7 linked regions of the Rattus norvegicus genome follow. The protein of the gene in region 1 interacts with the protein of each later gene in a biochemical or structural test. Links are inferred from orthologs where the notes say so. Each region holds a gene or a part of one and is shown in the gene's direction. Other genes may lie near its edges. The genes, in order: Rps6ka1, Magi3, Arhgef11, Pdzrn4, Erbin, Pdzrn3 and Dlg4.

Evidence for each region.
Region 2: the proteins of Rps6ka1 (region 1) and Magi3 interact in a test that uses a peptide from one of them, tested with the Homo sapiens proteins (2 studies listed by BioGRID and IntAct). The link is inferred for Rattus norvegicus from reciprocal best matches to the Homo sapiens genes RPS6KA1 and MAGI3.
Region 3: the proteins of Rps6ka1 (region 1) and Arhgef11 interact in a test that uses a peptide from one of them, tested with the Homo sapiens proteins (2 studies listed by BioGRID and IntAct). The link is inferred for Rattus norvegicus from reciprocal best matches to the Homo sapiens genes RPS6KA1 and ARHGEF11.
Region 4: the proteins of Rps6ka1 (region 1) and Pdzrn4 interact in a test that uses a peptide from one of them, tested with the Homo sapiens proteins (2 studies listed by BioGRID and IntAct, with this or other methods). The link is inferred for Rattus norvegicus from reciprocal best matches to the Homo sapiens genes RPS6KA1 and PDZRN4.
Region 5: the proteins of Rps6ka1 (region 1) and Erbin interact in a test that uses a peptide from one of them, tested with the Homo sapiens proteins (2 studies listed by BioGRID and IntAct). The link is inferred for Rattus norvegicus from reciprocal best matches to the Homo sapiens genes RPS6KA1 and ERBIN.
Region 6: the proteins of Rps6ka1 (region 1) and Pdzrn3 interact in a test that uses a peptide from one of them, tested with the Homo sapiens proteins (2 studies listed by BioGRID and IntAct, with this or other methods). The link is inferred for Rattus norvegicus from reciprocal best matches to the Homo sapiens genes RPS6KA1 and PDZRN3.
Region 7: the proteins of Rps6ka1 (region 1) and Dlg4 interact in a test that uses a peptide from one of them, tested with the Homo sapiens proteins (2 studies listed by BioGRID and IntAct). The link is inferred for Rattus norvegicus from reciprocal best matches to the Homo sapiens genes RPS6KA1 and DLG4.

The regions. Positions count from the first base shown.
Region 1 is NC_086023.1:151,377,872-151,381,844, reverse strand, and holds part of Rps6ka1 (ribosomal protein S6 kinase alpha-1), read left to right. Parts: intron 1-627; coding exon 628-665; intron 666-1,130; coding exon 1,131-1,273; intron 1,274-1,643; coding exon 1,644-1,714; intron 1,715-1,973; coding exon 1,974-2,062; intron 2,063-3,000; coding exon 3,001-3,065; intron 3,066-3,303; coding exon 3,304-3,406; intron 3,407-3,973. UniProt on the Homo sapiens protein: Serine/threonine-protein kinase that acts downstream of ERK (MAPK1/ERK2 and MAPK3/ERK1) signaling and mediates mitogenic and stress-induced activation of the transcription factors CREB1, ETV1/ER81 and NR4A1/NUR77, regulates translation through RPS6 and EIF4B phosphorylation, and mediates cellular proliferation, survival, and differentiation by modulating mTOR signaling and repressing pro-apoptotic function of BAD and DAPK1.
Region 2 is NC_086020.1:194,402,001-194,406,666, reverse strand, and holds the start of Magi3 (membrane-associated guanylate kinase, WW and PDZ domain-containing protein 3), read left to right. Parts: upstream 1-1,519; 5' UTR 1,520-1,646; coding exon 1,647-1,968; intron 1,969-4,666.
Region 3 is NC_086020.1:175,469,717-175,473,689, forward strand, and holds part of Arhgef11 (rho guanine nucleotide exchange factor 11), read left to right. Parts: intron 1-1,615; coding exon 1,616-1,639; intron 1,640-2,654; coding exon 2,655-2,799; intron 2,800-3,060; coding exon 3,061-3,160; intron 3,161-3,775; coding exon of another isoform or gene 3,776-3,805; intron 3,806-3,973. UniProt on the Homo sapiens protein: May play a role in the regulation of RhoA GTPase by guanine nucleotide-binding alpha-12 (GNA12) and alpha-13 (GNA13). Acts as guanine nucleotide exchange factor (GEF) for RhoA GTPase and may act as GTPase-activating protein (GAP) for GNA12 and GNA13.
Region 4 is NC_086025.1:125,842,349-125,845,830, forward strand, and holds the end of Pdzrn4 (PDZ domain-containing RING finger protein 4), read left to right. Parts: intron 1-301; coding exon 302-1,819; 3' UTR 1,820-2,617; downstream 2,618-3,482.
Region 5 is NC_086020.1:36,678,509-36,682,481, reverse strand, and holds part of Erbin (Erbb2 interacting protein), read left to right. Parts: intron 1-1,139; coding exon 1,140-1,323; intron 1,324-3,973. UniProt on the Homo sapiens protein: Acts as an adapter for the receptor ERBB2, in epithelia. By binding the unphosphorylated 'Tyr-1248' of receptor ERBB2, it may contribute to stabilize this unphosphorylated state.
Region 6 is NC_086022.1:135,329,630-135,333,458, reverse strand, and holds part of Pdzrn3 (E3 ubiquitin-protein ligase PDZRN3), read left to right. Parts: intron 1-480; coding exon 481-543; intron 544-2,054; coding exon 2,055-2,156; intron 2,157-3,038; coding exon 3,039-3,155; intron 3,156-3,829. UniProt on the Homo sapiens protein: E3 ubiquitin-protein ligase. Plays an important role in regulating the surface level of MUSK on myotubes. Mediates the ubiquitination of MUSK, promoting its endocytosis and lysosomal degradation. Might contribute to terminal myogenic differentiation.
Region 7 is NC_086028.1:55,256,647-55,260,619, forward strand, and holds part of Dlg4 (disks large homolog 4), read left to right. Parts: intron 1-2,916; coding exon 2,917-3,212; intron 3,213-3,383; coding exon 3,384-3,486; intron 3,487-3,636; coding exon 3,637-3,751; intron 3,752-3,973. UniProt on the Homo sapiens protein: Postsynaptic scaffolding protein that plays a critical role in synaptogenesis and synaptic plasticity by providing a platform for the postsynaptic clustering of crucial synaptic proteins.

The DNA.
Region 1 (3,973 bases):
TCTCTGTGTAGACCTGGCTGGCCTCAAACTCACCAAGACCAGCCTGCCTCTGCCTCCCGAGTGCCGGGCCTGAAGGCGTGTATTACTACCGCCCACCTCTAAAGATCATTTCTTTTTTTTTTTTTTTTGGTTCTTTTTTTCGGAGCTGGGGACCGAACCCAGGGCCTTGCGCTTCCTAGGTAAGCGCTCTACCACTGAGCTAAATCCCCAGCCCCTAAAGATCATTTCTTGATCTGTTCATTCTGGGGTTGGCCAATGAACTGCCTTCCAGTGCTGTCTGGAGAGCTGGGATAGATCCTGTTGGTAGAGTCAGACACATGCTAAGTCAGGCGTTATGGTTCTCCGCTGTGGTACCAGCTGCTAAAGAGGCTGAGTCCAGGAGTTCGAAGCCAGCCTGTACAATGCAGTAGACCCTGTCCCTGAAAGGAGAAAAAGACCCAGAGCCATTCAAACCTTGTGACTACAAGGAGTTACTTTCCTGAGCTCCATCCTTCTACTCTTCCATGGAGTAGAGCTGGGCCAAGCCCTCCTTCTGGGCAAGCTCCATCTCTCTCCATCCCATGGTACCACTAGAACCTACACAGTGCCTGGGGCTAAGGATTTCTGACTCATGTCTCTCTGTTACAGTATCCTTTTGGATGAGGAGGGCCACATCAAACTCACTGGTGAGTGAGGCACCAGCTCCTTTGGGCTCCTGGGAAGGATGGACAGGCTCCGTCTGATGGGTCTCAGCTGATGGCCGCAGTGAACTCAGCTAGTTCACTGTGCTTCCTGCAAGAAGCAGCCAAAAGCACAGGCCCCCGTTACTTATCTTTTGTGTATGGGGTTCTGCCTGCCTAGGCCTCTGTGCCTCCTGCACGTGTTGCCCACAAAGCTGGAGTCGCCTACAACTGTTAGCCATCCTGTGGGAGCTGGGAATCGAACCTGGGTTGTCGGGAAGAACAGCCGGTGATTTAACTGCCGGGCCGTCTCTCATAGCTCCCAATTACAGCCTTGGACAAATCCATGTGGGCTTCAGCTTTCTCCTGGCATCACAGAGGCGATGCCTGGCTCTGGTCAGAGGAGCTAAGAGTGGTAGCAGTGACTTGGCAGGGATCCTAACGACGACTTCTCTGCCCTCCATGCTGCAGACTTTGGCCTGAGCAAGGAGGCCATTGACCACGAAAAGAAGGCCTATTCCTTCTGCGGGACGGTGGAGTACATGGCCCCCGAGGTTGTCAACCGCCAGGGCCACACCCACAGTGCAGATTGGTGGTCCTATGGGGTGTTGATGGTGAGTGTCTAGGCTCTGGACTCAGTTTCCCCAAGTCGAGAAAAGTCAGTTTACCCTCCCCTTGTCTCACAACTGCACGCCATTGCACTTCCTTTCCTTGGAAGAATCGTGGGCTTCAATCCATCTGACTGAAGTACCACCCTTCCCCTAACTTGGGGGACTCTCCTCCACTTCAGGCTTTAGTGTTGCTCCTGGAATCTAGGTTGGGATGGGGGCAGAGGCAGGCACAGGCCCTGCTGCAGCTAGACTCTGAAGTCTAACAGGCCAGCAAGAATCCTGGAACCACAGCGGGGTAGCCTGGGAAGGAGGGGGAGGGGAATGCGGGAGACAGAGAACAAGACCGCACCTATATGGTTCCTTTTCTCTGCAGTTTGAGATGCTGACGGGCTCCCTGCCCTTCCAGGGGAAGGACCGGAAGGAGACCATGACCTTGATTTTGAAGTAAGCATCAATGCTACCCTGGCCCTAGCAAGTTCTTCCTAATCTTACCCAAGCTTCAGGGCCAGAGAATTGCATTTCCCTGCCAATAGACCCTTGCTGTCTACCTGGGCCAGTGGAAGGGTATCCTTAAAGTCTTTGGGAGGTGAATTAATGGCTGGCTTCTCTGGACTGAGCTGGGAAAGAGACCTGGAACAAAGGGAAGGGGTTCTGGGTCTCCCAGGGTGGGGCTCAGCCCTGATGAGACCTGTGGCTATTCCAGGGCAAAGCTAGGCATGCCCCAGTTTCTGAGCACGGAAGCCCAGAGCCTCCTGCGGGCCCTGTTCAAGAGGAATCCTGCCAACCGGCTTGGTAAGCAACCCCAGCTCGGGGAGGGGACATGGCAGTGGGGAGCAGGGTACAGCTGCAGCCTAGGCCACAGGGCCACATCTGGGGCTGAAAGGAGCTGTTGTCCTTTGTGTGCAGACAATGCTGCTGGCTACCCTGTTTTCTGGTTCCATGTATGGTGTTGGGAGGGTGACCTGTGTGGGGGGAAGGCAGGAACTGAGTCATCCATACCCACTCAGGGACAAGGACAGAGGCCCCCACACAGCCTCTCTGCCAAGGTTGCTGGCTCAAGGGAAGGCATATGAGCTTAGGACTGACACGAGTCTCTCAGTCCTGCCTGTGTCTATTCCCACTGCCTGGCACCCGGAAGTTACTGTAAATGTCTGTCGAGAGACCAAATACTGTTTACGAGCCTGCGCTAAGGCAGGTGACGCCCCCAGGGTTCCTTGTGTCTGTGAAGACAGTGATCCTGACCTGGCTCCCAGGGTTCTTTGAGTCAGAGAAGGACATGCCTCCTTTGCACTGGAGTACACAGTGCTCGCTGAGTTTTTCAGATGAGGGCTTTATCTGGATCACAACCAGCTAAGGTCCAGTCCGGGTCCCTGGGACGAATTGAATGAGTGTTTGTCTCGGGAATAAAGGCAGTGGTAGAAGAAGAAGGGTGGAGAGAGGGCCTGTGGCAGGAGGAGTAGATGAAGGTCCTTATTAGATCTCAAAAGAAGTCCAGCTTCTGTCATGACTGATGCATGATCAAGCCGTCCGTCCTGCCTGGCTCCTCCTCCTTTAATAAACCAGAAGAGGCTTCGTAATATAGAAAACACTGAGTGGGCTCCAGGCTTCGGGGTGATGGGTATTGACACAAGGCAGGGTGAGCCCAAGATGCCCCCTACTGTAGCAGCTGGTCCAGAGCTTGGGGGACAGTCGGGGTGTCTGAGGCTGGACCTTCCTTTGGCTTCTTACAGGCTCAGGCCCCGATGGGGCTGAGGAAATTAAGAGACATATCTTCTACTCTACCATTGACTGGAATGTGAGTGAGTCTGTCCACTCCCTGGTTCTGTGATGGACACAGGAAGGGTGGGGGAGGGGCCCCTGCCAGCCGTGGCCTCAGATGTAGGAGATAGAAGATGAACAGCCCTTCATGCCCTTGAAGGTTGCTCTCCCTGGCTGTTATCTTCTGGGTAGAGTAGCTTCTACTCTTCCAGCCGGGGCTGCTAGCAGGCTGAGGGGTCACCATGGTGATCAGAGCACACACCCCACCTTTGCAGAAGCTCTACCGCCGTGAGATCAAGCCACCTTTCAAGCCCGCTGTGGCCCAGCCGGATGACACCTTCTACTTTGATACCGAGTTCACGTCACGCACACCCAGGGGTATGTTCCTGACCTGGTTTGTCTGCCTCGGGCTGGGTAGCACGTCTCTGGAGGGGAACCCTGGGGTCCAGCGGTGATCAAGGACTCTGGAAGCCCAGATGTGTGGGTGGATAGGCAGTATCTGGCTCCGTGGGATTCAGGCTCCATTCTGACACTACCCAGCTACCTCCCTGGGGTTCTGTGGGCTTCTTTGTTTCTAGGTGAGGGACTGAGGTGTGGGGGTGGCTTAGACCACAACAGGAACGACAGGACCCCTGCCCCGGGCACCCTTCAGCCCATTGGGATGACTAAACACATCAGGCCTCCACATGCATCAGACACGAGGAATTTGACCTGGCAAACCCCTGACAGAGTCTGGCAGAACAGAGGGGATGTGCCCCCAGGTTGGATGTGTGCAGACTTGGCTTCTGATGCTAGGCCTGGTTGCTTGTGAGGAATTTTCAGGGAGTCACAGACCCACTTACTTGTTCCCCTGTTGCTGCAGGTCATCCGTGAGGGTAGCTTCTAGGAGGGAGCTTGGGAATCCTGACGTCCAGCCAGATACTGCCAGTGGGTGGGGAGGTGTTT
Region 2 (4,666 bases), on another chromosome or scaffold:
ATTCAACGGTGTGAAGGAGATCATTGCAGCTGTCTGAATCGTGGTCTAGTCTGCAGAGTTCCTTGGAGTTTAAAATGAGTGCTATCATTAAAGGGAGTCAGAATGCCCTGTCACAAAAGTGAGACAATATGCCTCAGCTCAGAGAAAACCCTTTCCTAGAAATACTGGACTGTTATTTGGATGAGGTAAAAAATTTTAGGAATAGAGGGCATTCCAAAGACGAGAAAGCATACGTTCAATAAAGAGAGGAAAAAGCTTAAGTGTTTCTGAAAAATTAGAGCTGGGAGAGATCTGAGGTCTCCTTTGTTCTCAGTCACTTCTTCTTCCAACCTCTTTACAGACAAACAATCATGAAGCAGAGAGCTGGCCAAGGACAAGCCAACAGTGTCAGGACTTAGATCTGCAGGCACTAGGTTATTTTTAAATCCATCTCCTTCCCTATTTCCTTAAACGAATCTCCTCGAGAGCAGGATCACCTTTTCTTCATTCTTGAGTTTAGTAGCTTGTGTAACTAATGATCTTCATTCTCAGCTTGTTTCAGACAGGCTGTCTAACTTGCCCGAGAACACACAGCATTCAAGCACAGAACTATATATTTACCCTCAACCGGACTCCGAATTCCTCACTTCATTCAAGAACATTCGTTGAACCAATTAACAAACCCAAACCCGTCGAATCCGTTTCAGCTACAACAGGCCCATTTAGTAGCTCCACCGCTCGAGGTAGCTGGACACTGGACGCCCAGGATCCAGGCAAAGCACTCCCTGGATCGCCATCCGGCTCCAGATCCGAGGCCCCGCCCACTGCCCAGCTGGGCACGCCCCACCATGGGGACCTGGGTCCTTTCTGCGTTTCCCTTGGCTCCAGCCCCTGGGCGGAGGGCCTCTCCCCGCTAGGCGACCTGTGCCCGCTCCCAGACCAACCCTCTCTCTTCCCTCCCCTTTCTCCCTCCCTCACAGTCTAAACTTCTTTTTTCCTCCCTCTCTAAACTTCAGTCATTCTAGTGCCCGCCTCCTCTACCCAGACCACCCAATCAGAAATCAGAATGTCCGTCAAGGCCCGCCCCCAGCCTGCCGGAACCCAATCCACGGCGCGGAGTCCAGAGCTGGGCGAGTCCTTCAGAGAAGGGCTGGTGACGGCAACGCGCCGGGCGCTGCGCTGCGGGAGGGGGCGGGGCCGGGCCGGCGAGGGAGGGGGAGGGGCCGAGCGGGGAGGAGGTTGCGGCGGGTTTGAAAGCGCCAGTTTCCTGGCAGCTGGGGCAGGCGTTGGTCTCGGCGCTCCGGCTCCGCAGCAGCCGCGCTCGAGCGGGCGACTAAGCTCGGTGCGCGCGTCCCGGACGGAGCCTCGGTTCCAGCTGCTCCCTCAGCTCCCGCCCCCTTGCCTCAGCCTTTCCCGCCGCGCGGGCGCCGAGACCCGGCCGTCGGCGCTGACCCCGCCCGGAGACCCCGTCGGCGCCGCCCGCGGGGCGCGCGCTCCCTCCGGCTCTCCTCGGCGGCCCGCGAGAGGGGCGGCTCGCGGCGGCGCGCGGCTAGCGGGCTGAGGCGGGAGGTCGGCGGCGGCGCCCCTCTGGCCGGGCTGTGCGCGGGGCCCGGAGCGGCACCGCGGCCGCCCGCGCGGGGGCTCCCCATGGTGCAGCGGAGGTCGGGATGTCGAAGACGTTGAAGAAGAAGAAGCATTGGCTCAGCAAGGTGCAGGAGTGTGCGGTGTCCTGGGCCGGGCCCCCGGGCGACTTGGGCGCTGAGATCCGCGGCGGCGCGGAGCGCGGCGAGTTCCCTTACCTGGGGCGGCTCCGTGACGAGCCTGGCGGCGGCGGAGGCACCTGCTGCGTGGTCTCGGGCAAGGCGCCCAGTCCTGGCGATGTGCTGTTGGAGGTGAACGGGACGCCCGTCAGTGGGCTCACCAACCGGGACACCCTGGCTGTCATCCGCCACTTCCGCGAGCCAATCCGTCTGAAGACCGTGAAGCCAGGTGTGCTGTCGGCTGGGGGATCCGGCTTGGGGACCCGAGTCCTGGTCCCGACTCCCCGGGGAGGAGGGGGGAGGGGGCGGCGCCGGGGTTTCCCATTTTGCGGCAGGTAAAACTGAGCTCCGGTGAACCGACAGCTAGCTGTGTAGGCTGTCAGGGAATTGCTACTAGGAGTTAGCTGGCTCTCCTAATCCAGCTCAGTCTCCCACGGCAGACAAGAGTTTCTATTTTTTTTTTTTCCTAGAGAAGGCCATCCCTTTTTTGCTCCCCCTTTGTGGAAAAGGTCCTATGATGGTATCTTTTCTTTGGAACGTATGTGTCTTATAACGGGGAGAAAAGGCTTTCCTATGGAGACTCAGCGCTGGATCGAGTGCTGAGGTTACCAACGAAAGCTTCAGGGAGGGCTCAGCTGGCCCAGTGCGTCGTGCACGACCGCAGACGTCTGGGAGCTGACAGTCCCACTCTTTGGGTCTAGGTGGCTCAGGTGTCTGAGTACCAATGAGGTACAATGTGCGGTATGAGGCAGTGGAACTGTTGTGTAGTCTGGGTTTGGAAGGAAGATCTAGGTACCCAGCCGAGCAAATGCCTTTGTAAAGCTTTCGAATCTACAGAATTTGTTGAAGCGCTGGGTAAAAAAAGAACCTTTGGTGCCCTGGTGTCTTTGATGCTCGTAAAATGTGCTGCAAAGCACGTTACGCTTATGGCATATTCCCTAGTTGGAAAGCATTGATCAGACTGCGCACAGTCTGGGCTGGTAGTATGTAGTAAGTTTTCTTACGAATTTGTAAGTGAGAACATTGTTGGTCCGTTCGGTATTGGAAGGATGTGGTTCTGGCTTCTGAGATGGTTGTAGACACAGGCATTGTGATTCATCATTGTTACTAGAAATCAAATTGTTTCTGCTGAACATAGATAGGGTACATCTAAGCATATGGGGCTGCCAAATTGTGACCTGGGCTAGATTTTGGTCTTCCCTTTCATTACAAAATGCTAGAAAATTCTAGAGAAATTTTAATATTCTCTCTGCCTCCCCCCTCTCTTTCTCATCCCCCTCTCCCCCCCTCCCTCTTCTTGTCTTCAGTTCACTTTAGGACTGTCTCTTTAGTAGTCCTTGAGCTAATTGCGACTGATGGTTTGATGCAGTATCCATGTGTTGTGGGTATGTAACATAATCTTACTAGCTTAAATGAAGGCACTTGTCATATAACCTATTCTGTGATACTGTTAAGATTTGTATGTTTGTGGGTTTTTCTTATTGTTAATCTTTAGAACTTTGTCAAACTGTAAACATCCTTTCTCTATGTTTGTGAGAATTGTAAGAGTTTTAACACTTAACTTCTAACCGTATTTGAAAGGATGGAGGGAAGACTTTGGGGGCTATAATTTGGCGTGTTGGTTACTGTTTATAACATTCAAAACACTATACAGACATTTATTATCCTAGGTATGGTTAGGCCATTGGTTCTCAATCTGTGGGTCTCGACCCCTTTGGGCGTTGTGTATCAGCTATCTTGCATATCAGATATTTACATTACGATTCATTGCAGTAGCAAAATTACAGTAATGAAGTAGCAATGAAATAATTTTATGTTGGGGGGGGGGTCACTGCAACACGAGGAACTGTATTAAAGGGTCCACAGCATTAGGGAGTTGAGAACCTTTGACTTAGATGAGGTCCCATGAGCCAGAAATAAGGAGAACATGTGCATCATGGCTCTTTTGTTTTGATCAGTGGGGGCATTTCTGAGAGAATAAAGTCATAAAGTTGTGGAGGAAGTTGTTCTATTCCAAATCACTGTGGCTCATTTAAAAGACCAGAGGGATGGCTCCTTAATAAATACCAATCTGTTTTACATGTTACATACCTTTCACATGAAATTGGAGAAAATGCTTCAGGGTTTAAAGGGTTATACAGTAGTATTAGTTAAGAGTATTGACGAAATCTTCCATGCCCCAGAATATAGTCAGCATTTTTGTATTAATAAAATTTTGCCTCCTTGTCATCCAAAGACGCTGTCCTGCTTTAAATATTTAGTGAAAATAAGGGGAATAACTGGTGTCAGTGCTGCACTCCAATTTATTAGAAACAGTTCTGAATGTTGTGCTTGCTTTGTAAAATATGGTCAACATCTATAATTTGTAGTGGGTACCACTATTTTGTGCCATCTGAAATTTAAAACTGTTTTAAGCAAATTGTAATGAAAATATTTGTTAGGTAGTATATTTTATGGCTTTCCTAAATGGCTTTACTTAAAGCATTATTTATAATGAAATACCAAGGGTTTTGTAGGTTGAACATAAGCTTTAAACACTAGAAATGAAGAACCTGAAGATGTGATTTGTAGAACTTTGGAATTAGCTTAAAAATTGCACAAGTATATCTCCAGAGAATCTTGGAGTCTATATAGTTGGGATTCATTTAGAAAATCATGAAAACACAGTGTAAGGTGGTCTAGAAAGAAACTTTCCCTGCCCCCACTCCCATTATTTCTAAACTTTGTGAAATTTTTAATTTCAAACATTATATAGTAGATTTACACTCCTGACCAGTAACTCTTTGTTAAACTGTATTCTTGAGAGTCATTTAGAAGCTAAAGAGTAAAATGTAGCTGTGTCTGTAGGATGTCTGTTAATGAGGAATGGTCTTATACTGTCTTCTGTCAGTTTGTGTCAGAGGAATGAGTTGCTGTAGCACTACTTC
Region 3 (3,973 bases), on another chromosome or scaffold:
CAGGAATTAAGTAGACTGGTATAACAAGCACTGGAGGAGGGTAGACAGGATGGGGACGGTCAGAAGTGCCACAGTCAGTGGGTTGCAGATTTAAATAGGCCAGTCCAGGTGAGCTACCTGGAAAAAATAGTACTTAATCAGTGAAGACATTGACTGAATTAAACGTGACATCTGGAAATGACACTGCAGACAGAACAGCCAGGGCAGACAGAAGCCAAGAAGAATGTGCTCAGCATTTAAAGAACAGTAATGAGCAGGGAGCAGCGCAGAAGAGCGGAGTGCAGAGGAAGCGAGAGCCTGGTCATGGGAGAGACAATACAATATGAAGAGGAGTTTGCTCTTCACTTAGCAAGCAAGGAGCTGTTGGAGTTGCAAGAGATGGGACAGCCAAGAAGTTCACTTAGAAGGTTCCTCCATAGGAATCCCCACCAATGATGGTAAAACAATAGCCATGGAAGTTGTGAATAGAGGTCAGCTCCTAGTGGAGTTGAGCAATAGAATCCTGAAGAGAATTCTTAAAACTTGAGTGTCAAAGTCAAAGAAGAGATCACTAGAGTTCCTTATATAAGCCACTAAAAAGACTGTCAGTCACTCTAGGTGAAGTGGGTAACATGGGCAACACTTTTGGACATGTTAAGTTTAAGGTCTCTTTGGGATATTAAACTACAGATGTGAATAGACAGCTACATGTATGAATCTGTCATTTGGTGACAGATCTGGGCTTGGGGGGGGCTTGGGTTACATCTCAGTAGTGAAGCAGTTGCCTAGCAAGCAGGAGGCCCTAGGTTCCATTTCACTAAAAAGTTAAAAATAGCTGAGCCTAGTGGAAGAGACCTACAGACTCAGCCACCTTGAGGCTGAGGCACAAGTCAAGACTTCCTTGGGCTACTGAGTTCAAAACCAAACTCAGTAGGACCAGGATTAAAAAATGATAAAGGCAGAGGATATCCGAGTGCATGCCTAACATGTATAAGACCCTGGGTTTAATCTGCAGTACTAATTAATAATAAGGAGAAAAGACTAGGACATCTGGACCTGAAAGGAGGCCGCACAGAAAGCGTGGTCTTTACAGCGGCGGCCTCCTGACCCTCAGTAGTAAGGTGCCATTAACTGGTTCTGGGATGGAGTTCATACCTGACTGAGCCTGTTCGGAGAGTCTATGAACCCAACTTACAATAATTTTCAAGTAATGATAGTTTGTACTTACAAGATGGGAGCCTTCTTCTGGGTATTTTGAAAATTCAGTGGGCTTATTGTGTAAACAGCTTATGAAAATGTCTGGCCCATGGTAAGACCCAAACATTAGTTGCTGCTACCTTTGCCTCTTTACAAGAAATTTCTTTGGTCAGGCTCCAGGTTTTATTTTTTTCTCCTGATAACTTCATGCTTTGAAACAGAGAACAGAGACTAAATTTGCCACATGTACTGTTGTGCTAGAAAAACATTATTGTCACGATCATCATTGTGCTAGTTGAATCTTTGAGGAAATAAAAACTTCTCACCTCCTGGGCTACAAGACTCCAGAACGTTTTGAATCTGACCTCGTATCCCCTACTATCCCCCCTCTTCTTCCAGCCTTTGCCTCAGGTCCAAGTCATCTGTTCTTTCATTACAGGTCCAAATATGAGGAAGATCGGAGGTGAGCAAATCCATGGTGTGGTACATTTTCAGCAGTCAAGGTGGGAAGAAGTAGGGCCGAGCTCTTCTGTGTTTCTCATTTCTGCTACCTGTAAGAAAGCTGTAACACTATAGAACTTGAGTCTGTGCAAGTGTAGCTCCCAGATGACTGACCATAACATGTGGGACTTCGGAAGTCCAGATCCTTGATGCCTAGGGACCACTGCCTGGTAGATGGCTCTACTCCTTGGTGTTGACAGACTAGCCCTCACCTCCTGACTTCTCAGGCCCGCCATGTATCTACCCACAGTACCCCTGAGTTTCCCTCCTGACCTCTTTCCCTGTGGAAAGATTTCATCTCCCTAAGAATGGTAGTGTTAGAATCAGTCTGTGACAGCAGAAAGAAAACACCTCCTTTCTTGGTGATTTTTTTAATGTAATTTCTACAAATTGACCTTATTATTTCTTATCAGCTTAAAAGGGTCTGCATTCCCTGCCTGTACATGCTTTGTAAGGGAAGAGACGGGCCATGAAGCCAAAGTAGAAGCAGATAGTGTGTCTACTGGATTTCAGGCCAAATATAGTTTAAGCACACAGCTCTGGATAGTTTCATTTGTGGCAACCAGAAACACCTCGATAGCCTTTGCTCTCTTTTTCTCCTTGTTCTCAGAGATGGGGGAAGGTGAAAGCTGTAGGCCTACTTTAAACCCTCGTATGTGTGTCTGAGGATGTTGACTTAGCCCATCCTCCAGGCCTTGTGTTTCAGGACTTTGTGTTCCATCCACTGACCATCATCCCTTCATGGGGAGAGAACACTGTCTAGATTTCTGTGGGAGCAATGGAGAGCTTTGGCCAGCTCCTGACTGCAGTTGCATTTGATCATCCATTCATCACTTTGAATATTTTAGCTCATAACCACCCCTTTTCTTCTCCGTGGGATGCCTATAACGGAGACTGTCCTCAGGGTTTTGCTCCCTCAGCCTTCTGTTACGAAACATGACTTGAGCTTTCTGGTTCACAATGCTCCTGTTTTACAGTGCCCCCATGGACTTTGCTGTTAATACCTTTATGAGCCACGCTGGGATCCGTCTTCGGGAGTCTCGATCCTCCTGCACGGCAGAAAAGACCCAGTCTGCCCCTGACAAGGACAAGTGGCTGCCCTTCTTCCCTAAGACCAAGAAGGTAACAGAACTGCCCACAGCACAGCTGTCCTGGAGCAGGGCTCTGTGCTGAGGCAGACCAGGAAGCCATTTCACAGCCTTCCAGCTATATCCCCCTCTTTTCTCCAAACCTGACCACAGGTGAAACATGTTCATTAGAATAAAAACCTGAGTCAGCTCTCCAATGATTTGTGTAGGGCCAGTCTTAGGACAGGGCAAGGGTGATTAGCAGTCTCGTGTCTGAGTGTTGGAACCACCTCCAAACTAATGTCTCCTATCTCAGCAGAGCAGCAATTCCAAGAAAGAAAAGGATGCCTTGGAGGACAAGAAGCGAAACCCCATCCTCAGATATATTGGGAAGCCCAAGAGCTCCTCTCAGAGCAGTGAGTATTTTAGAAAACAAAAGCCTTGGCCATTCTTTGGTAGAGAATTGAGCCCCTTCACCTTCCCAGGAAGTAGAGGGGCCTCCTGTGTTTCTGGGAGCCAAGGCCTGAACTCTGGAGACTGTAGCTTGCTCTTAGAACTGCTGCTCTCTCCCCCTGCCACATCTAGCCAATTTCATTGAGGGAAGGCTAATTTTTCAGAGCCAAGGGGTGTTAGCCTGGAACTTCAGAAACAGCTGTAGCTACTGAGTAGTTCTGTGGAAGAACTTATGGCTTGGAAAGACTGCCCTGTGGTCTTCGTTTCATCTTCATCCCTGGAATTTATGCACACTCCTGTGGTTTTGTGTTTGGATCCTTGCTGAGGGTTTTAAATGACCGTTAAGTAGAACTGGCAGGGATAGGGACAAGCTCCATGACACGATGGTAGCCCTGAGCTTCAGTGGGAGTCGCCTTCATAGACCTTGGTGACACTTGGGTGGGGGAAGGGACTTCCGCGTCTACTTTGGTTTTGTCACCACCTTCTCGTTTTCCAGCTTGATAGGATTTTTATTTGACTCTTGCAACGTTAACTGACTTTTCATGGTTTACTTTTGTTTTTGTTTGTTTTTCTTTTAGCATTTCATATTCCCTTGTCCCCTGTGGAAGGTAAAAGGACAATTTTCTTCGGTTTTATCTCCTCATTAGAATTGATTTTCCACCTCCAGAATCTTGCTGTTCTTTCCCATCTGGTCCTATCTGGTCCCGACTTGCTTCTTCCTTTTCTTCCCTCCATCTCTCTTAAGGATTCCTCCTTTCTGTTACTGCTTCTCTGTA
Region 4 (3,482 bases), on another chromosome or scaffold:
TTGTATATATCCTTCACCTTGGCTTCCCAAAGAGAAAAGCTGAACACAGTGGTCCTTCATGTCCAGGTCCTCCCTCTCATTGATACCCAGTGAGTGTTACAGATATAATGAAACTTAGTTCCTCTATTTTGCTACTCACAAGACTGCCATGAGCTAATTGTCTCAATTTCTAAAATTGGTATGCAAACTGCAGGTACAGCTGGTTCTAGGAGCTGCACCCTAGCCAGGAAACATTGTTTTTCAAGCAAGTTTACAGCAGCCAGTGCTTTTCAAAATAATCTCTTGTGTTCTGTTTCCTCAGCCAAAAAAGCAGGAGGAAGAAGAAGGCACAACAGACACGGCCACATCCTCGTCCAACAACCAGGAGAAGGACAGTGGCGTGGGGCGCACAGATGAGAGCTTGCGAAATGATGAGAGCTCAGAGCAGGAGAATGTGGTCGAGGAGCCCCACAGCACAGCACTGAAGAGCAAGAGAGAGCTGGGGCAGAGCCAAGACACCCTAGGAAGCATTGAGCTTCAGTGCAACCAGAGCTGCGCTGGGGGTGAGTGTTTGGACTCCGACTGTGCCAGCAACCAGGAGGTGTGTGAAGGATTCCAGCAGCTATTGGAGCTTAAGATCCGAAACCATGGAGATTATGACCTGTACTACTCAAGCAGTACGCTCGAATGCAATCAAGGGGAGCAGGACGGGGTGGAGCATGAACTGAAGCTGTTAAATGAGGAGCTACGAAACATTGAGCTGGAGTGTCAGAATATCATGCAGGCCCACAGGCTCCAGAAAGTGACGGACCAATACGGAGACATCTGGGCATTGCATGATGGAGGATTCCGAAATTACAACACCAGCCTAGATATGCAAAGAGGGAAACTGGACGACATCATAGAGCATCCGGAAAAGTCAGACAAGGACAGCTCAAGTGCATACAATACAGCTGAGAGCTGCAGAAGCACCCCACTGACTGTAGACAGGTCCCCGGACAGTTCCCTTCCAAGAATGATCAACCTCACCAATAAGAAAAATCTGAGGAGCATGATGACAGCCCATCAGTCCCCTTCCAGACCGAGCACCAGGGAATACACCGCTACCAAAGTCAAAACCACCCATGAAGGTTGCAGCGTCGAAAGCCTGGAGAAGAGTCTAGAAAACAGCCAGCTTCTGGATCAGGAGCACACAGTCAGTGAGCATACTCCATACCTCTCTCCTTACCACAGCTCCTCCTACAGATATGCCAACATTCCGGCGCATGCCCGGCACTATCAAAGCTACATGCAGCTAATTCAACAGAAATCTGCCGTAGAGTATGCCCAGAGTCAGCTCAGCCTGGTGAGCATGTGCAAGGAATCGCCGAGGGGCTCAGAGCCCAAGATGGAATGGAAGGTAAAAATTAGAAGTGATGGGACCCGGTACATAACCAAGAGGCCAGTGCGAGACCGACTTCTGAAGGAACGTGCCTTAAAGATCAAGGAGGAGCGGAGCGGCATGACCACAGATGACGACACCATGAGTGAGATGAAAATGGGGCGCTACTGGAGCAAGGAGGAGAGAAAGCAACACCTGGTCCGGGCCAAGGAGCAAAGGCGGCGCCGGGAGTTCATGATGCGGAGTCGGCTGGAGAGCCTCAAGGAGAGCCCACAGAGCAGCGGCGAGGGCAAGAAGGAGCTGAGCATCATTGAACTGAGCCACAAGAAGATGATGAAGAAAAGAAACAAGAAAATTTTGGATAACTGGATGACAATCCAAGAACTGATGACCCATGGGGCCAAATCCCCGGATGGCACAAGGGTCCACAATGCCTTTCTGTCAGTGACCACCGTATGACCAGACACATGGGGACAACTGGCTTAGAGAGCATGCTACCAGTTTCGGTAGAGTATCATTGCCTCGTTCAATGTGGCATTTTTATATATATTTTGTGACTTTACAGTTTAAATTTTTTGTAAGCAAAAATACCTGGTACTTTTTAATTTGTTTTTCATATGCTGGTACCTTCTTTGGCTAATATCTTTCCTTAACTTGTGATATATTCATAGCACACATTTATAGAAAAAAAATAAAACGATGAAAAAACAAAAGGAAAGAAAAAAAGATGAACAAAAATACTAAGGACCTAATTAATTTCCTATTTTAATGTATCTATTGTAAGTTTTAAAAAAGTCTGGATTTATTTCTCTAATTTTCTTATTTCCTATTTTAATAATTCAATGCCAAAACATGTCTATGCTTACCTCCTGGCATAGTGTATGCTAAATCAGATCTGCTAATAAACTACATGCCGTATCTTGTCTTATACATGAAGTAGCACCTCTTTCAACATCCTTCTGTACATTTAAACACATAAATGGCAATCGTCTTTGTCTCAGTAAAGTGTGGGTGGACAATCTTCCCGTGATATGTAGTGACACTGGTCATGTAGCTAGATAATTGTGGTAATTTGTGACAATAAAAAAATAATAAATTATTGATTATCCTAAGAAAAGTTAACCAAGGACTGTTATTTTCTTTGCCCACGGTGGTTGACATGTTTGGTTGTATGTATACGATTAGAAGACTCTTGATTGTGAATTACAAACTGTGCAGCTTTTCTATCACCTTTTCTCTTTCAATAAAGTTGTTTTGGAAACACTACTTATAGGTCATCGTGTCACCTATTCCAAATCACATATTCCTACCGGGAACGAATTCGAGAATAGACGCTGTATTTCAGTGATGCTAAATTAGGCTTCATGAGCCTCTAGCCTGCCTTTCCCAGGTGAGATTCAGGAAGAGTAGAGAAAGAATATTAAGGAAGGGTCTCCTGTTGACACATCTGCTTCACCTCCACAACTCACATGCTCTGATAGGCTTCAGCAATGGGGACTTACCACTCACAGATCTGGAGACTGCTAAGTCATTCAATTTTGGTAGGACACAATCCAGTCTACAACACGGCAGGTTTATTAAATTGATGGTCTGAAGGTACGTTTTGGGAAGCCATCCATCTTTGCAGTAATTCTCAGCATATTCAATTAAATGCCCTATATGTCTTTATTAAAGGGTCTATTGTTAACTGGCTAGGCAGATTTTTATTAATCTAGCTTTTCATTGCTTGAACATTTAACCATATCATGTGCCGACCATGATGCCTACACAAGAGAAGACACTGTTAATGGTATATATAAAATGACATTTAACCCAACAGACTGTCATGAGAACATGTACCTATTTTGGAGCTAGTGTACTGCATGAAAACCTACAGTGGCTGCCTATTAGCTCTCTAGTCAGTCTCAGGCCCCAGCACTATATCCAAGTCTTCCTATAGCTTGCCCAGGTCACCTCTCCCGCTAGTTCTCCCTGAAGTTAGTACCTGATACTTTCCTGAGATTTCTGAAATAAATCCTACACCTTATTAAAATGAAACAACAGACAGAGTTTTGGGGGAAACTGTATTGACGAAAACACATTTTCTTAGTTCTTTAGTATACATTGTTGTTTTTTTTCTTGG
Region 5 (3,973 bases), on another chromosome or scaffold:
GTAAATTTTATTGGGAGTGAATAAATAAATGTGGGAGTCACATTATTGAAACATTTTAAAAACAAAATTTAAAACTGCCTTTCCAAAATATTCTCCATATTTCCCATTTTTAAAGAGATTGGTAGTCCCTTCCTACTCCCGCGCAGAGTTTTTTTGTAAGGACATGAGCATTAGAAGGATGGAATTCTAGGTTATAACTCCATCTCTATTGAGTGTTTTCTAGATACTTATCCTTCCTTGTGTGCTTCATTCTATCCATTAATAGATGACATATTTGAGTTGTAGTGAGGCTAATGAAGGATTTTGCATATAATACATAGCATAGTACCTCTTTCTATGTGCACATTATTTTATTCTTATCTATTCTGCAATGGTAGATATTAAGCTCTTTTCCCCAGTTTTTGCCAACCAATTTTCATGTAACAAAATATTAGACTTAGAAATAAAGTTGTAAAGAACGCCCATCTCATCACACCGCTCTTACAAGTAGTGCCTGGTTAGCTCTGCGTTATCTCTGTCAAATGCTTGTCCAGACCATTGCTCCCGTAAAGCTAGTGACATCACCAAGCTGGCACTTGGTTAGCGGGGTGTATACTGATACTTAGAAGCTCCTGAGTCCTTTCACTGTTGTTTAGGTACCAGGCAGTTGTTACTAGGCTGCCGAACAGTTGGGTGTCATCCTAGCTCCATGAAAAGTACTTCAAAGGCTGTCTCACGGTACTTTTTATAAATTAAGAAACCAAGACTTAAGTACCTTGAGATTGGGGTTTCTAAACCATTTGAGCACTGTTTCTAAAAACAAAAAACATATCTTTAATCCATATGTGGGTATGTCTGGGTGTAATAGATCCTTGAATTGGCTAGTATTGAGGTCTTCATAAAGAGCTTGTTTACAACTATTTTCAAATTCCTTTTAAACTTCCACTTTAGTGAATATAAACCGATTGCTTCTCATTGTTCTAAACAGGCACCTCACTCATTGAGAGATTACCACTTTATGAGCAGGTGTTTGAGGTGGAGAGACACAGAGGACTTAATACCTACTTAACTTATCCCCTCAGACATAGAATCGGTAAAAAGGTTTCCATAAATTCTTGGTGAATTTATCATTGTGCTTAAACACGTTTACTTTGTTTCAGATGATGCAAAGGATACAGATTCTTTATCAGATGAAGTCACACACAATAGTAATCAAAATAACAGCAATTGTTCTTCCCCATCTCGGATGTCTGATTCAGTGTCTCTTAATACTGACAGCAGTCAAGACACCGCACTCTGTTCTCCAGCGAAACAAATTCCTATCGATAGTAACTCCAAAATCAGGTTTGTGAACATTTGAACAGTGCATTTACTTATACAATAAATAGAAATAATAATACAAATAAGAGAAAAAATAGGGCTAAACATAAATGGTTTCACAAATATTTAAGTGACTTATACAATAAATTTCTTTACTCCATTTTAGAAGTAATTGAGTAGAGGTTGTTAGTGTCCCTACTTAGATGGAATGGCGTCCTGAAACATGGGGGCCCAGGATCCACGAAGCTCTGAGAGAAAACCTCCTCAGCAGAGCCACTGCAGCTCCCAGCCCTCCTCCTTCTCTTCACTTCTTCCCTTCTTTTCTTCATTGCTTCCTGGCTTTTCTGATGAGAGTCATACCAGGCAACATCTTGCATAAAAGAGATTCATCAGGAGGGTTTAGGGTATGGAGTAATGAATCCAGTGTTGGCTGCTTCTGTTCCCAAGAGTGGACAGCAAGGAATTGAACAAAGAACAGAGTTTATATAGGGGGCGGTGCTTTTCAGGGCAGATTTTTAGAGTGAGGATTGGTGAGGTGAGGATTTTAAGCCCTGACTTGGAGAGCTCAGGAATTGGTGGGTTTTCCAGCTCAGGGAGTGGTGGGGTTTTGTAAGAAGCTCAGAGATTGGTGGGTACTCCAACTCAGGGAGTGGTGGCTTTTTTCCCTCCACACCTTTCTCTGAATCAGGCCAATGGGTTTAGATTGGAAGACTGTAGTCGGCTTTGGCTGAGGTGCCATTATTGAGCTGCTTGGGGAGGCTGGAGAGGAGGTGAACAGCTCTTGTGGTGGTACCTCATGCCAGCAGCAAGCTGAGGAAGTGCCCCTGTTTTGACAGAAGCCACCATTTCGGTAGTTCCTGTGGTAGTATTTTACAGTGAAGGTGCCACAGGCTGGGGAGAGAAGTAGCCATCATAGCTTTGACAGCTCTTGTAATGTGGCTCAGGGTCTACAGTGATTATAAAGTTGTTTTAAAACCATTTTTTGTTGTTGAAATGAACAAAAATATTTTTAGGTGTCAAAACATATAAACAGCTGATTGGAGGAATTTCAGATTAAAAGAGCTATTTTTATTCTTAGAAACCATGTTATTTCTCGTTGCAGTGATAACACACCATAGCCAAAAACAACTTATGGGAGAAATACAGCTTTTTTGGCTTATAATTGTAGAGGGATGGTGCATAATGGTGAAGGGGACATGACAGCAGGAAGCTGAGAGACGACACCTCTGTAGCTTTGCTTTTCTTTCTCTTTTAGCTATTTTGTGTGAATTCTTCTCCTGTCTCTTAACAATATTTTCTCTGGCTCAGTTTCCCCCGTCTTAACTGTCACCAACTGTCTTCTCTAACCCTAGACACGGACCCTGCTCTTCTGCTACCTGGAACCTGCTCAATCCAAATACTCTCAGCCTCTGCTGGCTTTGTTATAGCCTTTCTTGTTCCCAGAATTCCAAGAGGCAGCCAACATTGAAGGGCATAGTAGGATCACTTAAAGGGCTCTGCACACAAACTAAATCACACTACACACCTCCAGCCGCATGTAGAAAGCAGGAGGGCAAACTGGAAGTGGGGTGAGGCTAAAATTCACAAGCCCCTCCTAGTGATGACTTTCTTCTGTAGTGCTATGTTCCCTATGGATCATGGCCATATCAAAATGTAAAATGCTTCTAAATCAGTGTTAAAAGTACTCAACAGTCTTAACACTACTCAAAAGTCAGCAGTATCTTCTCAAACTCACTACAGTCTCTTAACTGTGACCTCCCAACCCATAAAATTTAAAGAAGGATACTTCCAGGACATTATGGTATGGAATATACATTTCCATTCTAAAAGGGAAGAATGAAGACATAGTGAGAGAACACTGAACCAAAACCCAGCAGAGAACGCTCCAAATCCTCAATCTCCATGCCAGATGCTTAGGTGGCTCCGCCCATCCGGCTTTGAGTCCTGTGCATGCATCTCTCTGGGGCTGCTTCCTCTGATGTGATCAGCTCTTAGCAGATGTCTCATGACTCCGGTATCTAGCAGTTTGGGTTTTCTGCTGTAAGCCAGGCTTTTCTCTTTTTTTTTTTTTTTTGGTTCTTTTTTTTCGGAGCTGGGGACCGAACCCAGGGCCTTGCGCTTCCTAGGCAAGCGCTCTACCACTGAGCTAAATCCCCAACCCCCAAGCTTTTCTTTTAATGTTTCGTGTACTTTCCTTTCACAGCATCTCCAGCTTTGCCAGACTTTGCCTGTCTTCAGGGCTCTCTGAAACTGTACAGGAGGTTTTATGGCCACTGCCATGACCACCTCACCCTTCCGTCTTTCCCACCGTAGATGACACTAGCAAGTTAAACTGACCACATAGGACGGACCCTTGATCCTCACCCTACCTTAGTAGTGTCTTTTATGTGTTTAAGCAGTTGCTCTCTAGGAACAGAAATCCTTTAGGCTCTTTCTTAAGTTGGAAGTCAGCTGAGTGGGGTCTTGGCCTGAGGGCACTTTTCTCATTGTTCCAGTGCAGAGCAGGGCACTGTCCTTAATGGTGATATCTCTAAAACACTTCCTCTTTCTAGCATGTTCATCGCTATAATATTGTTTCCCAGTGTTCCCGGTCTCTTCACACTGTACTTTTTCATTTCTTTTGTTCTACCTGATGTTTTTCACTATAGACCACTGTAAAGAGTAACCAGTAGTA
Region 6 (3,829 bases), on another chromosome or scaffold:
TCAACTCATTGGCTAAGCACCACCTACCAAGCTTTGCGTGTCACATCAGCATGTTTTAGGGCACCCCTGTTATCCTTAGTCCCACTTGTCCCAGTTATACACCTCACTTTTAAAGCTGTCTTCTCAAATTTGATAACAAGATTTGATATGAAAACCATCAAGGTGGGGCTGCCAGGCAGCCACACATACGGGTGCCCTCTCACCTAATCCGTGTCACTGACTTGCTTCTAGTTACCCCATGTCCAGCAAGAGTCGCCTTTGCTCTGAGCCCAGCCCTCTGCCACAGTGCTGCCAAGCAGAGTTCTGGGAGTCCCAGGGAGGGGCTTAAAACAGATAGTTCATTTCTCCCTGTGCACAGTGCTAAGCCCTGTTTGCAAATCAGTTCAATACAGAAAGGCAAGGTCATGTATGATGATATGGTAGAGACAGCCTTTGGAAAGTGGCTGTGTTCGTGCTGAGGCTGTCTACCATGTGTTTCAGATTGACCCTAACAGCATTGCGGCCAAGGATGGACGGATCCGTGAAGGAGACCGCATCATCCAGGTAGGTACACTTCCCACTGGGGGGCATCTTCAGCAAAGAAAGGTGTTCCAGAAATAGTTCCCAGGTTGGAAAAGCAGGAGAAGTTTAAGGACAGGAACCAGGAATTCAGCCAAGTAGTGAGACCAACCATGTTAGATTAGTGAGTGAGACTAATTAGTTACACACAGAGGGGGAAGTGAAGACAGACCAAGCTCTCCCAGATTTTGGACCAAATACCTCTGAGAAGTCTGAAATTTCATAATTCCACAGTTACCTGCCCTATGGACTCTGTTATAAGGGTAACATCTTTACCTTGAAACCTGTTGTTCCATGTAAACAAAATAAGTGCTTACTTCTTTCTTCTAGCTATAATCATTTTGGGGGAGAGGTGGGGGGAGGTGTTCATGGATTCAGGTTGGTGCCAAACTCATTATGTAAAGGTGAACCTGAACTTCCAATCCTCCTGTCTCCACCTCTTGCACACCTGGCCTGATACGGTGATGTGGATGGAAGCCAGGACTTCCTTTGTGCTAAGCAAGCCTCCTATCACTTGATGCCCGTCAGCTCTATGGCTTTTTGTAGGGCCTCAGAGCCTTGGCTTCATTCTGTCCCTTGGCTTCTCTTTCTACCTCTTCTCAGTTTCATCTTCATCTTTCTAATCTACCAGTTTGTTTTCCCCATTTCATAAGCCACCACGTCTAGATTTGGTTTCCTACCAGACTACATTGTGTTTCTCTAGCCTTTAGCGAGAGCCTTGACAGCTGAGCTTCCTTAGGAAAGAGACCCAAGACACCTGAGGGCCACAATCCTCGGCAAACTGTGTGTTGCTACAGTTTTCTGAAACCGGTACCACTGAAAACAGGAGCTGAAAGGACTAAACATGCCACCAGAGTCCCGCCTGGGTTGCAGACATACCCTTCCCTGTATCCACTGTGTAATCAGGTTGGATAATGACAACCAGCAGTGTCTCTGGCTTTGCCACCTCTTGGTTCTTTGACATAAAGTGGCAAAGTCGAGTGAAGGGCTCAATTTCCAAGTCAGCAAGCAGGACTGCTGTGGTGTCCCTAGAGGAATGTCAGCCCAGGAACAAAAATTTACAGAACTCAAAGTTGCTGAGACAGGCAGACAGATGTCCTGCCAGAGGGTTGTCAGTGTGAAGGTGAGAGCCGTTCCCACTTGACTCGCCATCTAGCCTGCTAAACTAGGCACACGTAGCCCATGTATACACAGCCGGTCCCATCTCTGCTACCCACTCCTCAAGGTCCATTCCCAGAAGGCACCCTGCTGCTTTTCTCTCCCATTGTAAACAGGAAGTGTCTTTTATATTTCCCATTAGTCTCCTGACCAAACACAATGTCAGATTCCAGGTCTCGGATGTGGCCCGAGCAGCAGGGGTTTTCTAGATCATATCCTGGAATCCATGTTATGAGTGTGAGTGGTGGCACTGCAGTTCTGAAGCAAGAAGGGAAGCTTCTGCTCCATGCAGCCATATCCCTTGCTACCTACACCTACCCTACCTCTTATGCTTTCAGATTAATGGCATAGAAGTTCAGAACCGTGAAGAGGCCGTGGCTCTTCTAACCAGTGAAGAAAATAAGAACTTTTCACTGTTGATCGCAAGGCCTGAGCTCCAGGTAAGTCAATGTCCCACAGATTAAGTAGGTTAGATTTTTATAATCAAACCCAAGTCCCTAACCCTGCAGAACAATGTCAGAGTATTGCATCTGTGCTTAAAGGTGCATGCCACCTTGAACTTGAACTTGCTGTGGCTTGGGATCCATTCAAAGGATTAACCAACCTGACAGGTCCTACCCACGGCAGATTGACTAATAAAAGAACCATAGCAGGATTTACGGATGCCCCTTCCAGCCTGGACCTAAGTCCCACTTATTAGGACATTGAAGGGAAATGAACATGAGTGGAATTGAGTGGTTCAAATAGTAACTAACTGCTTTAACCACTGAATCTGGATACAATGTAGCAAAGCAGGGGTGGGAGGAGTAGCATTAGAAGCTTCCGTAGCATTAGAAGCTTCCCCAGTGTGGTGTAGGGCTGGAGTTCCTTCAGTGTGAGGATGAGGTCCTTTCCAAGACAACGGACTAACTGCTTTGGATGACTCCTAGAGAGAGCCCCACAATTCCTCTTTCTGAGGTAATGTCCTTTCTTAAAAGAAAGTTCCTTGCTATGGCAAAATACCACTCCAAACAACTTCAGGGAGGAAGGGTTTATTCTGACTCAGTTTGAGGGTTCAGTCTAGCATGGCAGGAAGGCTAAGCAGGCTATGAAGCCACTATCTGCATGGTGTTCAGTCATGAAGCAGAGAAATGAATCCAGTGCTCAACTTGGTTTCTCCTGTTTAATGACCGCTACCCAAGTCAAGAGGCGCTCCTCCCTCTTCAGCTAAACCTTTCCAGAAACACTCACATAGAGTGTTTACCATAGATGTGTAACTATGGTGATTCTAAGTTCAAGTTGATAATGAAGACCCTCACGTGTGTATCAACTGTTTCTCCTAGCTGGATGAGGGCTGGATGGATGATGACAGGAATGACTTTCTGGATGATTTGCACATGGATATGCTCGAGGAACAGCATCACCAGGCCATGCAGTTCACAGCCAGTGTGCTGCAGCAGGTAAACCCTGGGGCAACTCCACGCCACCCCAACCAAGGAGAACGTGCACCTTCAAAGATGCTGAAGACCATCAGAAACCTCCTGCCTAAGCTTTTCTGTTTGAGCCTGAGGGCAATACAAGCAGATGGGTTCCCTCAGCAAGCTCTTCCCTGGAGATGGCTACATAGTTAACAGTGAATTCCAAACTCAAAGCAATCAATCTCCCTAGTGTATACCACCTCTAAGGTTATAAAGCTCTTATGGCTTAAAAAAAAACAAAAAGCTGAGACAATGTTGCTGCTCTGTTGATGTTTACTAGGAAAATACAATGAAGTCAAGCCTTTGAAAGTAAAGCAATTCTGTGATTAGTCTGAGCTGCTCACAGCCCTCGAGCTCCCTCCTACGCCACCACCTACGCCACCACCAGAGTCCCAACTACCCATTTACTGAGTCTCTTAGGAGTACTTGAACATCCTCCCTATTTACGAGTTCCTTTACTATTTTGTTATTCTCTTTCCAATTTAAAGATTGAAAAAATGAGGGTAAGGGTCCAGCCCAGACTCATTTTGATAGGGCTGGCTACTTCCTGGATCCTAGGTCCCTCAAATGCTGCAGGTCAGCCTTAGGAACTTAGAGCTTAATCTACACTCCTGTCATATACAAAAAGATCACACTGGGTACCTCCTCCTCCTCCC
Region 7 (3,973 bases), on another chromosome or scaffold:
GAGACAGGGTTTCTCTGTGTAGTCCTGGCTGTCCTGTCACTTGCTCTGTAGACCAGGCTGGCCTCAAACTCAGAGATCTTCCTGCCTCTGCCTCCATAGTTCCAGGACTAAAGGTGTGCGCCATCACCATCCAGCCTCTGGTACTAGTTCTGAACTTACCAAAATTAACTTGAGTTCCTTGGGGAAAGGGATGGTTTCCAGTCTTGGCAAGAAGCACAAGAGGCAGGAGGGGTAGAATGTACTGGTAATCACAAGGTTTGGGAGGCTAATGTAGGGGGATTGAGATTTTAAGGGAAACCTGGGCTACATAGAACCTGCCTCAAAAAATGGCTGGGGATGTGTTTAGTGGGTGGAGTGCTTTTCCAGTATACACGAAGTATACACATGCTCTTGGTGATCAGGAGGAGGAGGAGGAGGTGAAGGATCAGAAATTCAAGACTACACAGTGTGTTTAAGGCTAGCCTAGGCTATATGAGGCCATGTTTCTTTTTAAATTAATTAATTATGAGTACACTGTAGCTGTCTTCAGACACACCAGAAGAGGGCATCAGATCTCATTACAGATGGTTGTGAGAATTGAACTGAGGACCTCTGGAAGAGCAGTCAGTGCTCTTAACCACGGAGCCATCTCTCCAGCCCCGAGGCCCCTCCCTCCCTTCCTTCCTTCCTCCCTCCCTTTTTCGTTTGTTTGTTTTAAAATAGGGCTGGGGAGATGGGACCAGAGTCTTGCTCTCTAACACTCACAGAAAGCTGGGTGCTGTGATGCATGACTTCCATCCTGACTCTGAGGGGTGTGCAGAGACAGATGGGTTCCTGGAATTTACTGCCCAGTTAGCCTAGTCTGTGAGTTCTAAATCCAGCTAGAGACCATGTCTTAAAAAGTAAGGTGGAGCTGGGCATTGTGATACACGCATTTAATCCCAACACTGGGGAGGCAAATGTCAGTGGAGCTCTGTGAGTTCAGGGATAGCCTGGTCTACATAGTGAGTTCTAGGACAACCGGAGGTAGGTGGTGAAATCCTGTATATAAACAAACAAACGAATGAACAAACAAATAAAAATTAAGATGGAGAATGATTTTGGGAAGACCCTTGAAGTCAGCCTTTGGCCTCCATGCTTGTGCGCGCGCGCGCGCACACACACACACACACACACACACACATCACCACCACCAAATAACCAAGCCAGAAACAAATACGTAAATGTGTAAGTCATACTAGAGGGCCAGGAAGGGGCCCAGGATTATTAGTGTCACAGCAGTCTTGTTGAAGAGGATTTTTCTGGCCTTACATAATTTATTTTATATGCAAACACATGAGGTCAGAATAATACCTTTATTTTTTTTAAATATTATTTAATGGATATGAGTACACCAGACACACCAGAATAGGGTATTACAGATGGTTGTGAGCCACCATGTGGTTGCTGGGAATTGAACTCAAGACCTCTGGAAGAGCAGTCAGTGCTCTTAACCGCTGAGCCATCTCTCCAGCCCCCAGAATAATACCTTTGAAAACAATTGGGTATCAGGCATGGCAGCAGATGTACCGCATGGCGATGGACACAGGTACTCAAAAGTGAAGTAGGAGGATCAAGTTCAGCGAAGGCGTAAGCAACATAGTGAGATCCTTGAAAGTGGGAGACTTGAAAGTAAAACCAAAACCAAACTTGGTCAAATGGACTCAGGCTGGGGAGCCATCATGTGGTGGACGTACAGGTTGAGCAAGACCTGGGGTCCCATCTTCACGGCAGCATTTCCCCTTGTTACCCTTGGAGAATGCTGGAACACCTAGAGACAGGCCATTTCTTCATGGAAATGTAAATAAGGGAGAGGCTCAGTCATCTGCTCCCACAACTGTGTACGCTCATCACAGAGTCAGCTCAAGGTTGCCAGGCAGCAATTCTGGTGCGTGTGTGGGTCTGTTTTCTTACCGTTTTTGTTTTGAGATAGGGTCTCATTATATAGCCCAAGATAGCGTCAAAGTCACCATGTAACCCGCACTAGCCTTCAGTGCCGTCCTGTCCTCCTCAGTGGGATAGTAGGCTCGAACACAACACTCAGCAGGTAGGAGAGTCCTTTGTAAAAATCTTATTAATGATTGTACAACATTAACACTTTGCAGTCCCTGTGAACACCAACCTTAGACACCACCCTGAATGCCCATAAGGACTCTGGTAGAAGGGTATTGTAACGAGCAGGTCAGATGATGACCCCAGAACCTGACAGTCCTAGAAAGACAGGCAGTCAGCTCACACTTCCCCATTTCTTTTGAGACAAGGTCTTACTACATAGCCCCGGCTGGCCTGAAACTTGGGGTTCTACTGTCCCAGTGGATCTAAAGTGTGGGTACCACACCCAGCAGACGTCACTGCGTCCTGTGGCAGGCACAGTTCGCCCCTTGCTGGGTGAACGTTTCATATTGAATTTGAGCCTACTAAGCCTCTGGGACAAGCCCAGGGAAACAAAAAGGGAGCAGAGATGGGGCACAGGCTAAGCAAGACCACAGGGAAACAAGTGACTATTATCGCTCATAGAATGTGGGAAATACTTTAGACAAATGACCCAGTTTTAAAAAAAAACAATCACCCAACAAAACAACAAAAAACCCTAATGACTGGGCAGAGGGAGGGGCATTGAGAGACCTGAGAGACACTTTAACCAAAAGGCAGTCAAAAGCATGATGCCAATATCCTCCTGTTGGCCCCATTCCTGGCATACTAAAGACATATGACCTCCCAACCCTTGCCCTTTGATGTCATCTGTAAACTTCTGACCCCTGCTGCGGGTCACCCACATACCTTTTTGGCAGAATAATTCCTCTTTGACTGAACCTGGCTCTGGGCTCCCTCTGGAGGGGACAGATGGGTGGGTGCCACGGTCACAACATCTTCATCTCATGCCCTGTCTGCCCTCAGCGTATTCTCAGCACCTGGACAATGAGATCAGTCATAGCAGCTACTTGGGCACTGACTACCCCACAGCCATGACCCCCACTTCCCCTCGGCGCTACTCCCCTGTGGCCAAGGACCTGCTGGGGGAGGAAGACATTCCCCGGGAACCAAGGCGGATCGTGATCCATCGGGGCTCCACCGGCCTGGGCTTCAACATTGTGGGCGGCGAGGATGGTGAAGGCATCTTCATCTCCTTCATCCTTGCTGGGGGTCCAGCCGACCTCAGTGGGGAGCTACGGAAGGGGGACCAGATCCTGTCGGTGAGAGAGGCCTGTGCAAGGGTCTGCACTGCCCCCCAAAGGGAGTTCTCTGCTCTTGGGGAGGGACTGGATGGGCTCAAGCCTGGTCCAGCTGGACCACTCCCTGACCCACTCACTCCTAAGAATGACTGTCTTCCCATCCCAGGTGATAGCATCTTCTCCCCTTTCTAGGTCAATGGTGTTGACCTCCGCAATGCCAGTCACGAACAGGCTGCCATTGCCCTGAAGAATGCGGGTCAGACGGTCACGATCATCGCTCAGTATAAACCAGAAGGTACCACGCCTAAGTTTTCTGTCTTGGTTAAGGTGGACCTCAGCATTGTCTCTTTAGCTGATGGATGGTCTCAGTAGGGGTGGAGCGAGGGTTGATGGGGTGTGGCATTAGGATGGGACAGAGTTCCAGAAACTTCTTGTCCTTTCTCAGAGTATAGTCGATTCGAGGCCAAGATCCATGATCTTCGGGAACAGCTCATGAATAGTAGCCTAGGCTCAGGGACTGCATCCTTGCGAAGCAACCCCAAGAGGGGCTTCTACATTAGGTAAGAAACTTCCTGGGCCTGACTCTAGAGGCTTCCGTGTATTCTTCTCCCCCTGAACTTGTGTCCAACCCCCAAACAGCTCCTCCTCTAAATCCTGCCCTTCTACTGTCCCACCCAGACGTGACACTTAGTCAAGGGTTCATAGACTTGGCTGCACACACTGGTCTTCTGGAATAGCCCCTGCCCCAAGTGTCTGAATTGCCTCCTAGTCTCTGGTCACAC